3 linked regions of the Tribolium castaneum genome follow. The protein of the gene in region 1 purifies or fractionates together with the protein of each later gene. This does not show direct contact. Links are inferred from orthologs where the notes say so. Each region holds a gene or a part of one and is shown in the gene's direction. Other genes may lie near its edges. The genes, in order: SkpA, Fbl6 and F-box/LRR-repeat protein 16.

Region 1 (2,205 bases):
TCTTTTATTATTCTCCTCACTTCAGATAATTGCTATTTTCGGGATCGAACTCGGGGGACGATTCTATGGCTTTTTTCAGTAGTTCCCCGAAAAGACTCGGACTGTTAAGGATTGTAGGGAAATCGCGGGACCGGTCAATCCCCGAAAAATCGGAATCCAGGGCTGGCACCCTAACAAATGAATCAAACTTTTGCACTTTAATTGTTTTAATGACTACCTGTACTCGTCACTGAGACGGCTTAAAATGTCTCGCTTTTGCTGCCCGCGGCACACGGGAGAAAAAATGTGTGTCCTTAAATAATTAATTAATTAAATAAACCTGATATTATGTAATTAGTACCTGCAATGATTTTTTTTCAGCAAGTTGGGGTTTTTGACCAAAGCCCCGTGGGTAATTTCAATAGATAGGAAAATAATGCTGACGAATAACAACAAAGTGATTCGGTGGTCCGTAATGGACTTTTTCATTGTTGTGGAACCCTAAAAATCAGATAACAATTTGTTTGTGTTTTGCTCCAAAACACTTGAGAAGTCAAGTTAGATAAGAATTGGAAGTTTTCAAGTAATAAAGATTCGGTCAATTGTTGCGTCAGATTGTTACAATTAGTTGTTTTTATGCAATAAAGAGTGTTATCGCAAAAATTTCAAAATAATGTGTAAGAAAGAGGGTGATAAGGAGAAAATCAAAAAAGACGACTCAGACAGACTTACCATTGTTTGGCTTGGAGACAGGCGGTGAAGACGGACAATCTGGCTCCCAAATTCTTGGGCCACCTCTTTTAAATCAAGAGCGGGGTCTTGCGCAAACCAAGTGCAACAATTTTAACGCACAATTAAGCTTTATATTGCGGCTCTTCCCATATTACATTATCCGAGGCAAATAACGCGCTACGTGTTTTGATGAAAATTTTGCCGCGTCATTGCGTATTTGCTGCAATAACTCGTTTTGAATTAATTTGTTTATAACAATTGGTTCGAATCTGGCGCCCGTGTGGGGACGCTTGCGCGTTACACCTGTCATCCACCATTATTGCCGTCTATTGTCATATTCTGTCATCGAAGAAAAACCGTGAAAAATGCCGAATATTAAACTGCGTTCCTCCGACGGTGAAACGTTCGAGGTGGACGTGGAGATCGCGAAATGTTCAGTGACCATCAAGACCATGCTGGAGGACCTGGGGATGGACGAGGAGGAAGAGGAAGTGGTGCCTCTCCCCAATGTCAATTCGGCGATTTTGAAGAAAGTTATCCAGTGGTCCACTTATCACAAAGATGATCCTCCACCGCCCGAAGACGACGAGAACAAGGAGAAACGCACGGATGATATTTCGTCATGGGACGCCGATTTTCTCAAAGTGGACCAAGGCACTTTGTTTGAGCTGATCCTGGCGGCGAATTACCTGGACATCAAGGGGCTGCTCGATGTGACTTGCAAGACAGTCGCCAACATGATCAAGGGCAAGGCCCCCGAGGAGATCCGCAAGACTTTCAACATCAAGAACGACTTCACAGCCTCCGAGGAGGAGCAAGTGCGCAAGGAGAACGAATGGTGTGAGGAGAAGTAAACTCGTATTTTTTTTATTTAAGATTATTTCCAAAATTGCGTTCATTGTTTTATTGTAATATGATTATTTAAATCAAACGCCATTTCGACCCAACTGGTTGTTTATTTGCACCTTAACCAATTATAATAGGTGTCGGATAAAATATAGTATACAAGTGTTAAAATACGCCATAATCATCGCAAGACCCCGCCTCGTTCCCGCAAATGCGGGCCCCCATAAACGCCCCCATTAAAACCGCTACAAATATCATCGTTAAAAACCCTAAAAAGTACAGCCACGTCCTGGAGGAACACAAGGACCACCAACACCTACAACTCGCAATTAATTGGCAGCTTTTTAACCACAACTAACCCTCGGGTAAAACACCCATTTCGCTTGATTTCATCCTCCACGAAATTTTCCGACTTGGATAGTTGTTCATTCATTAATTTAATAATTTTGCATTTGATGTGTTTGAGCTTCTGTTTCGTTTCCAAAACGTCGCAGTCACAATCATCATCACGGCTCATTAAACTGGAATTGTGTTAGGATTAAGGAAATTCAATTTGTAGTGTGCAAATTGAGATTATGACGTTAAGGTGTCATTTTGGGCACGTAACTTCAGTGTCACAAAGGGACCCCGAATTACGAGCTAAACCAC
Region 2 (3,762 bases), on another chromosome or scaffold:
CGATACTAAAATGGTACTTTACGTTTCCGTGTGTGTTGTGTCGGAAACGCCAGCTACAGGGGCCGTCAAATGGGAACGCCAATTGGTGTCTCGCTGTGCCAAAATGCGACTCAGTAAAGACTTTTTCTTCTCCGTTCCGGAAAATCCCGAAACTCTCATCTTGACTTGTAATTCGATCGAAGAAGGAAACGAAGAAGCGAAGAAACTCAAAGAGTTGAGTATTGATAATGTTTTGAAGGAATTGAGAGCGCGTGGAGTGTCTCTCAAAAGACAACATCCGATTATTTTCAAACAATTGTGTGCTTACGCGAATGGAACGTGTGAGAAATTTACGCCGATTACGGTGTATCCAAAAGATGCGACCACTGGGAAGAGTTTCATGTGCATTATTATGCTGGAAGCGGATCCGGAAAGTTTGAGACAAGTGGAATCAGCGGGTGTTAAAGTTAGGACTGTCAATGTGCTGTGCGCGGCGGCGGAATAAAAGACCTCTCTATTACCTACCCTATCCTGTGATTTATTATAGCTTGTTGTTATTCTGCAAATTTTAACGAGATTATTCATGTTGATATATCTAATAATGTTGCTTTTTTTTCATAATTGTACTCTAAATAAATTAAATTGTTTGGAATGGTTTTAGGGTACGTGCCTTTGCCTCGACTTTCACACGAAAAAAAGACACATATCGGACGCTTCCCTTATTTTCATCACGTACCATAAATTTTTTTACTAGTTCATTTTTATTTTCCCAAAAACACACCAAATTTTGAAAAGCAATAAAACAATTGGAATTTAACAAAAATGTTTTATTCATTTTTCTCGATTACTATTCATAGTTGTACGAATAAGAATTGTTGAAATAAACTCATTATTCAAATAAGTTATTTTTTTATTTAATTAATTATTTTCCCCTCTGTTCATCGATAGATGGCGCAAAATTATCGCAACCTGTAACACCGGCAATAGCAGCGCCACCTATAAAAATGTTTGCATCTTGAGTAACAAGGTCAACAACACTAAAATCAGAAAGTGGCCAAGTTTTCCAAAATACTGATTTTCTCATCGAAATAGTGATGTGATTGTGATTGGTGGTGGTTTTTTCAACTATTATTGTGAGTTTTAGGTGAGTGTTTGACGATTGAATGGGCGAAAAAACCAAAGTCGGGACTGATCCGTTACGAAGTGAAAAAAACTCGATCGAGACCTCTTTCCTGCCTAGAGAAATTTAAATGTGCACTAAATTGTCGAATTTCGATAAATTTCCGCATTAACTTGCTGCTTTTTACGTAAATTTGTATAAATTCCGAAATGTATTCTCTCCTGTCATTTGTGATTGTTTACGAGCGGACTAGATACGAATTTTGCCGCCCAATTCAAATTTTTCTCTTTTGAATTGGAACACTTTTGTTTGTTTTTCATTTAATCAAGTAGGTTTTTGAATACATTTTTGTGATTTTTCAGTAGACGAGTTTGTCAGAGACGCGAAAAAAGTCACTCAATGGCCTGCAGACAACTTTCTATCTGAGCTACCGGTGCAAATTGCACATTTTGTAAGGTAATTTTCCAATCAAAATGTTGTACGCCATCTACGACAGGACCGTACTTAGATCGGTTTGCTATAGTAATTAATAAACTTTTTCAGGTTTTTTTTTCGTACGTCAATGATGTGGTTACCAACTTGAAAGAAAAAAATGTGAAAAAAATCACAATGTCGGGCGCCGATTGTTTCAATGACATACCGACTGAGATTTTTGCGGCGAATTTAACAGAAACAAACGGAGATATTTACGAACATTTACCAAACAATAATGTTTGTCCTGTGAAAAATTTTGTAACCGACGTACAACAACAAAATCAAGGCGCCACTAGCACGGGTAAAAAACAAAAACGTACGCTCAACCTTGTTAAAGTGCAAGGTTGGTAGCGCTAGTTTTCGTTAATTGAGTGTGTTTTTTTTTATTCGCCAGGTGGTGGTAGCCATGAGGAAAGTACTGATTGTAACAATGGTAGTAGCATAAAAAAAGTGTCGAAAAGTCGCAGCAAAAGCGGAATGGGCCGAGGTAGACCTCGGAAAGCGCTCGTCGCAATGTATCACAGTCAGATAAGCGGCGATAAAAACACAATAAAAATACGAATAAAAAAAAGTAATTTTACCGCACAAGTGCAACTAAGCAGTGCACCGAATAAAAAGAAAAGCGGAAGACGGAAAAAACAAAAAGTTACTTCGGATACGGACGTATCCGATTATGAATATACAGCAAAGAAAAGTAAGAATGAGAGTGACGTAACGAGCACTCAGGATCAGGAGCCTCAAGAGCAAAGCGTTTGGGGTGAACACGTACCGGAAAATGTGTTGTATAAAATTTTTCAAAACGTTTGCTTTCAAGACGGATGTTTGCCGAATCTAGTGAGGTAAAATAAAAAATTTAATCCTTAACGAGTCGCACATATGCGTGGGGTGTCATAGAAATTGTATGTAACTATGGTAATAAATTGCCATAGTAACAATAGAAAATTCAGTGACGGGTATTTAATTTTTTTTTCCCTAGATTATGTCGAGTGTGTAAACTGTGGCGAAACGTGGCTTTGACACCTTCGTTGTGGAACAAAGTCGATTTGAATTATGTAAAAGAACCATTCAGGACTGATTTGCAATTACATTGGTTAATTTATAATCGATTGTCTTGTTGCCAAGATTTAAATTTGGGTAAATAATATATACCCCCGAAAATGTTTTTTCTTGTTTTCTAATCTTGTATTTAGGTGAATGGAAGGTTCGTGATATACAAATTGCAATCGAAGCTCTCTGTACGAATTGTCCTGAACTTCAGGGCATCAATTTGAGTGGTTGGAAAGGCCTTAACGCCGATAATTTGAAATATTTAACAACGGAATGTAAAAAACTGGAACGATTAGACTTGTCGTCAATTAACGTAATATAATTTATTAAATAATAATAATAATAATAATACTTTTTTGGTTGTAGTCTACATCGGCAATTAATTCTCAACCTTTGGTAGCAATGGGGCAAACGATGAGCAGTCGTTTGACACATTTGGTACTCGCTCATAATAAAATGGCGGGTTTTACTCAAATAATGGCGTCAATTGCTGTACAAGTTTTCATTAATTATTTATGAATCATTTTCTAATTGGTTTTATTTTTAGGCAAATTGTCCAAATCTCCAGCTTTTAGATATATCCAACATTCGAACCTTTGCTCACAACAGCGCACTTTTACATGTTGAAAAATTACAAATTGGTTGTCCGAAATTGCGAGTTTTGCGTATTACGAATAGTCAAATTTGGTTGGCACCAGCTAGTTTGACTGATCAGGTTTGTAAAATTAAAGTAGGATTTTTTTTATTGGAAATTATTAGGTTGCCTCTCCTGGATTTCCGCTTTTGGAGGAGTTGTCTTTGGCCGGTTTGGAAGAAGACCAAACGACCACTTCTCGATCTGTTGACGATGACGGAATTGAAAGGATACTAAAAAATAGTACAAAACTTCGTTTGTTAGATGTTAGAGGGTGTATTCGTTTAACTGACTCTGGTTTAGTTAAAGTGCCCGCATGGGATCTCGAACATTTATTTTTGAGTGGTAGGTATTTAACACAAATTGTGTTGTTTGTTGAAAATTAATTTAACTTTACAGCCTGTTATATAACTCGGACACAAAACTCTGGTCTCGAGTTGATTGTCCAGAAATGGAGTCACAGTTTACTAGAAGTTGATCTAGCATGGAGCACTGCGACGGAATCTTT
Region 3 (3,762 bases), on another chromosome or scaffold:
TGAAACTTATTAAATTGAAAAGATGAACCCAACCATGATGATGTTTTGTAATTTAATTACAAAAAATTACAATTTGTTAGTACAATTTGTTAAATTTGTAATTTATTTTTTTGTTAATTATTATGTTTATTATCCTTTAATCAAAAACAACCAAACTTCATTTAAATTTAAAATTTAGTTCTAAGAAATACTACTAAACAAATGTTGCACATATTTTTTTTATTTTTTAATAGGTAGAAAAACAAATGAATTTACAAGTGTGTCATCAATTAAAATGTTATTTTTCGCTCTAGTTACATCCAAATTTGAACAATGTTGCATTGTTTGGGGTCCGTAGTATTAATTCTATGTACAACGTTTTAAGGAAATAACAGTAAAGGTCAAGTCTCTACAATAGTTTTCCTCATAATTTATTACGTTTTTGTATATGGTTATGCGTTAATTGTGTCCCTTTTTTTCTACTACTGTATCGTCTACATTTATTTTTGTCCATTATAGACTATGTAATCACATTGACGTAATATGAAAGCAGCGAAAAATTTTGCGTCCAAATAACAATATCGTCCGCAGCATTTTAATAAAAATCGACGACGTCTCGACGTCATTAATAACATTTTTTTCCTCGAAAGCCCGCTGAACCATTTATCTTTATCGACACAACATTGTATTGATTTTGATTTCGGGGTTAAAACAGTGGAAAATCGGATTAGCGCAGAAATTATCAATTAGCACACAAAGATGCTATAAAATATAATTATCCGAACCATTGAGGTCGGAAAGGGCTGAATTACTTTGTGAAATCCTTTAAATCACGAGCTTAGAGCGACACAAGACTCTTATTCCCAATTTATGTGAGATAATAAACCATTAGTTCTTTTACGGTACGGAAGCTGTTTGTTCACAGCATTTCAAAGGTCATTATATTGTTTACCTTTTGACCTTTGGGTAGGTATCGGAAATAAGAGACGCGAGCTTCGATTTAAGGGTGAAAGATTGTACATCAGTTGAAGCTGTTGCTAGGTGAGAAAAACGGAAACAGCCTTTTGTAGTTTTGTTTTTGTTCCAGTGATTCGAGTAATTCTCTCGTAAATTAGCCTAGGATCGATTTGTTAACCATGAAACTATCTCCTTAATTACGAGCAAACAATGCAATAAATTCTCTTCAAATGCAAATCAAGAAAAAGTTATTTGTTTCATTATCTGGAAAAATAAAACTCCAACACTCAACACTAATTAAAACTTTTCCAACTTATTACATTTTACTAAATAATTTCTTTACGTTAAAAAAATGTCGTGTCGAAATGCTACGCTATTTAACTTTCTCAGATCGATAAAATTTCCATAATAAACCAACGATTTCAGTCCGAATTCTCAGTGTTTTAAACCGAAAACTCTGTATTCCAGGCGCTCTACGAATTGGAACTAGCAGGCTGTAATGAAATAACGGAGGCTGGTTTATGGGCCTGTCTGAATCCTAGAATCGTCTCTTTGACACTAAGTGACTGTATAAATGTTGCCGATGAAGCTGTAGGCGCTGTGGCTCAACTCCTCCCTGCATTGTACGAATTCTCCCTCCAGGCCTACCATGTCACGGACGCCGCTTTAGGTTACTTTTCGCCAAAACAAAGCAACTCACTCAATATCCTCAGACTGCACTCGTGTTGGGAAATCACCAATCACGGAGTTGTAAATATTGGTAACATACTCTCATTGAAAAAAAAAACAATTTTAAAAAATCAATTTGCAGTTCATTCTCTCCCGAATCTAACGGTCCTCAGCCTCTCCGGATGCAGCAAAATCACCGACGACGGCGTCGAACTCATAGCTGAGAATTTACAAAAATTGAGATCGCTCGACTTGTCGTGGTGTCCTCGAATCACCGATGCTGCCTTGGAGTATATCGCGTGCGATCTCAACCAATTAGAAGAGCTTACACTCGATCGGTAACCAAACAAATTATAAGCCACAATTTCATTTAAACACAACGCAAAACTAGATAATTACGACAAAAATTACCTTACTTTAAGCTAAAAATTCATTTATTAAAAGTATATCTCTATATCTCTAAAACTAAGAACCACACAAAATTCAGCGTTTGCTATTCAACACTTTATATTTCTCCCTGTGCCTGTGAATTTTTTAAAAAAATTTCTACAATTCCTTATATTTCAAATTAATTAAATATATGAAACACTAAAAATAACTGTATAACCAACTTAAATTCAAATTTCCACAGCCTGATGAGATATCATTTAATTTGAAAGAGTATATATTTTTTAATTTGTTTTCCTTAGCAACGGTATCGATTATTGCTCTTTTGTTTTCTAGGTTATTGAATTTAATTTATTGTTGAAATTACAAGTTTTTAATTGTTTTGCACATCATTATACATTAATTGTTGTTTTTTTTAATTTGTATTTGTTTAATGTTGCAAGAGCTCGCTAACGAAAGTCAAAAAGTATGATATGAAACAAAAATTAACTTAAAAATTTAAGTTTGAAGACCTAAATCTCGTGAAAGAGGGTTCAAACAATTTTTTGTCATAGGAACTTTTAATTCAGCACCCAAGAAATTGTACGGTACTTTTGAATCACCGTGTATAGAATTCAATTTCACTATTTTTTTATTTTTTTAATTCAGCTTGTAAGCATTTTAGCATTTCAGTCTCTTAATACGAGTATATTGATTTTTTATTTTAGACTGTGTGTTTCAATTATTAGTGTTTCTCATTTTCAGTATCTTCTACTTTCTAGGGAAAAATGCTAGTTGCAGACTAAATTACTTTTTAATGTTGTAATGTTTAAAGTAGTGTAATTTTTTTTTATAAAAAATAGATACAGTGAGTTCATTTTTTGGTTGAAAGAAATTCTTACAGAAAACGAACCAATTTTACACCAGCAAATTTAAAACAATATTTAAGTTAAACGATTAATTAACTTCTTTTTTTATCCCCTTAATTAAACGCTCGAATTTACTTCTCGAGTTTAAATCTTTACGGAGATAAAATACATCTAAGACCCTTATACAATAAATAACAATTTTTTTCAACAAGAAAATTTTTTACAAAAGATATTTCGTTTTGTTTGTTTTTGTAATAGAATGTTTTACAATAAAAAATATGTTTTTATTATTCCTGATGTAGGAATTAAAAAAATATATCGGAAAATACCAGATTTTAACACGTAATTTCTGTTTTTCCAATATTTTTTGCTTCCTAATTAAAGTAAGTTTTAACCTCATAAAACTCCAATCTGTATTAATTAATTATTTCTTAAGCATTTTAAGATGTTATTTTGTGCAAAAAATCCTAAAAGTAATTTTTCCCAATTTTTTATTTTTTAATTTTTAATTAAAAAATATTTAAATACATGCTGCGGTGGTAGATTAAGCTTATTATCAATTTTTTGTCCAAAACCTTGTTTCAGGATAACACTATAAATAATAAAATTTCCATTAGTTTATGTTTATTTTTACTGATATTACTGATATTAATTACTAGTATTAATTACTATTAATACTGATCTTAATATTTTTATAAATAACTCTATAAGGGAGGGTAAAAAATTCTGAAAAAATTCACTTGTGTGGAAAAAAACATTAAATATAAAGCAACACACCGTGATTCCTATGCGATTATTAGTTTTTGAGATATAGTAAAAAATACTTTTAGCAGAAACACTTGCATTGTGTTTAATGTATTTTTTAAAGTTGCAATAACTGGTGGCCACTGATCAAAACGCAATCCGCTTTATTCGCTTTATT

The links.
Region 2: the proteins of SkpA (region 1) and Fbl6 purify together in Homo sapiens (affinity purification with mass spectrometry; 6 studies listed by BioGRID and IntAct, with this or other methods). This does not show direct contact. The link is inferred for Tribolium castaneum from reciprocal best matches to the Homo sapiens genes SKP1 and FBXL6.
Region 3: the proteins of SkpA (region 1) and F-box/LRR-repeat protein 16 purify together in Homo sapiens (affinity purification with western blotting; 5 studies listed by BioGRID and IntAct, with this or other methods). This does not show direct contact. The link is inferred for Tribolium castaneum from reciprocal best matches to the Homo sapiens genes SKP1 and FBXL16.

What each region holds. Positions count from the first base shown.
Region 1 is NC_087402.1:1,039,192-1,041,396, reverse strand, and holds SkpA (S-phase kinase-associated protein 1), read left to right. Parts: upstream 1-998; 5' UTR 999-1,076; coding exon 1,077-1,565; 3' UTR 1,566-1,658; downstream 1,659-2,205. Other genes in the region: uncharacterized protein LOC103312555, read right to left, coding at 17-170, 218-292, 341-480, 712-714. UniProt on the Homo sapiens protein: Essential component of the SCF (SKP1-CUL1-F-box protein) ubiquitin ligase complex, which mediates the ubiquitination of proteins involved in cell cycle progression, signal transduction and transcription.
Region 2 is NC_087400.1:61,142-64,903, reverse strand, and holds the start of Fbl6 (F-box/LRR-repeat protein 6), read left to right. Parts: upstream 1-962; 5' UTR 963-1,123; intron 1,124-1,461; 5' UTR 1,462-1,557; intron 1,558-1,642; exon of another isoform or gene 1,643-1,643; 5' UTR 1,644-1,708; coding exon 1,709-1,889; intron 1,890-1,967; coding exon 1,968-2,412; intron 2,413-2,549; coding exon 2,550-2,707; intron 2,708-2,763; coding exon 2,764-2,933; intron 2,934-2,986; coding exon 2,987-3,112; intron 3,113-3,167; coding exon 3,168-3,335; intron 3,336-3,379; coding exon 3,380-3,599; intron 3,600-3,653; coding exon 3,654-3,762. Other genes in the region: uncharacterized protein LOC661447, read left to right, coding at 1-484.
Region 3 is NC_087394.1:25,647,197-25,650,958, reverse strand, and holds part of F-box/LRR-repeat protein 16, read left to right. Parts: intron 1-1,404; coding exon 1,405-1,696; intron 1,697-1,747; coding exon 1,748-1,943; intron 1,944-3,762. UniProt on the Homo sapiens protein: Substrate-recognition component of the SCF (SKP1-CUL1-F-box protein)-type E3 ubiquitin ligase complex.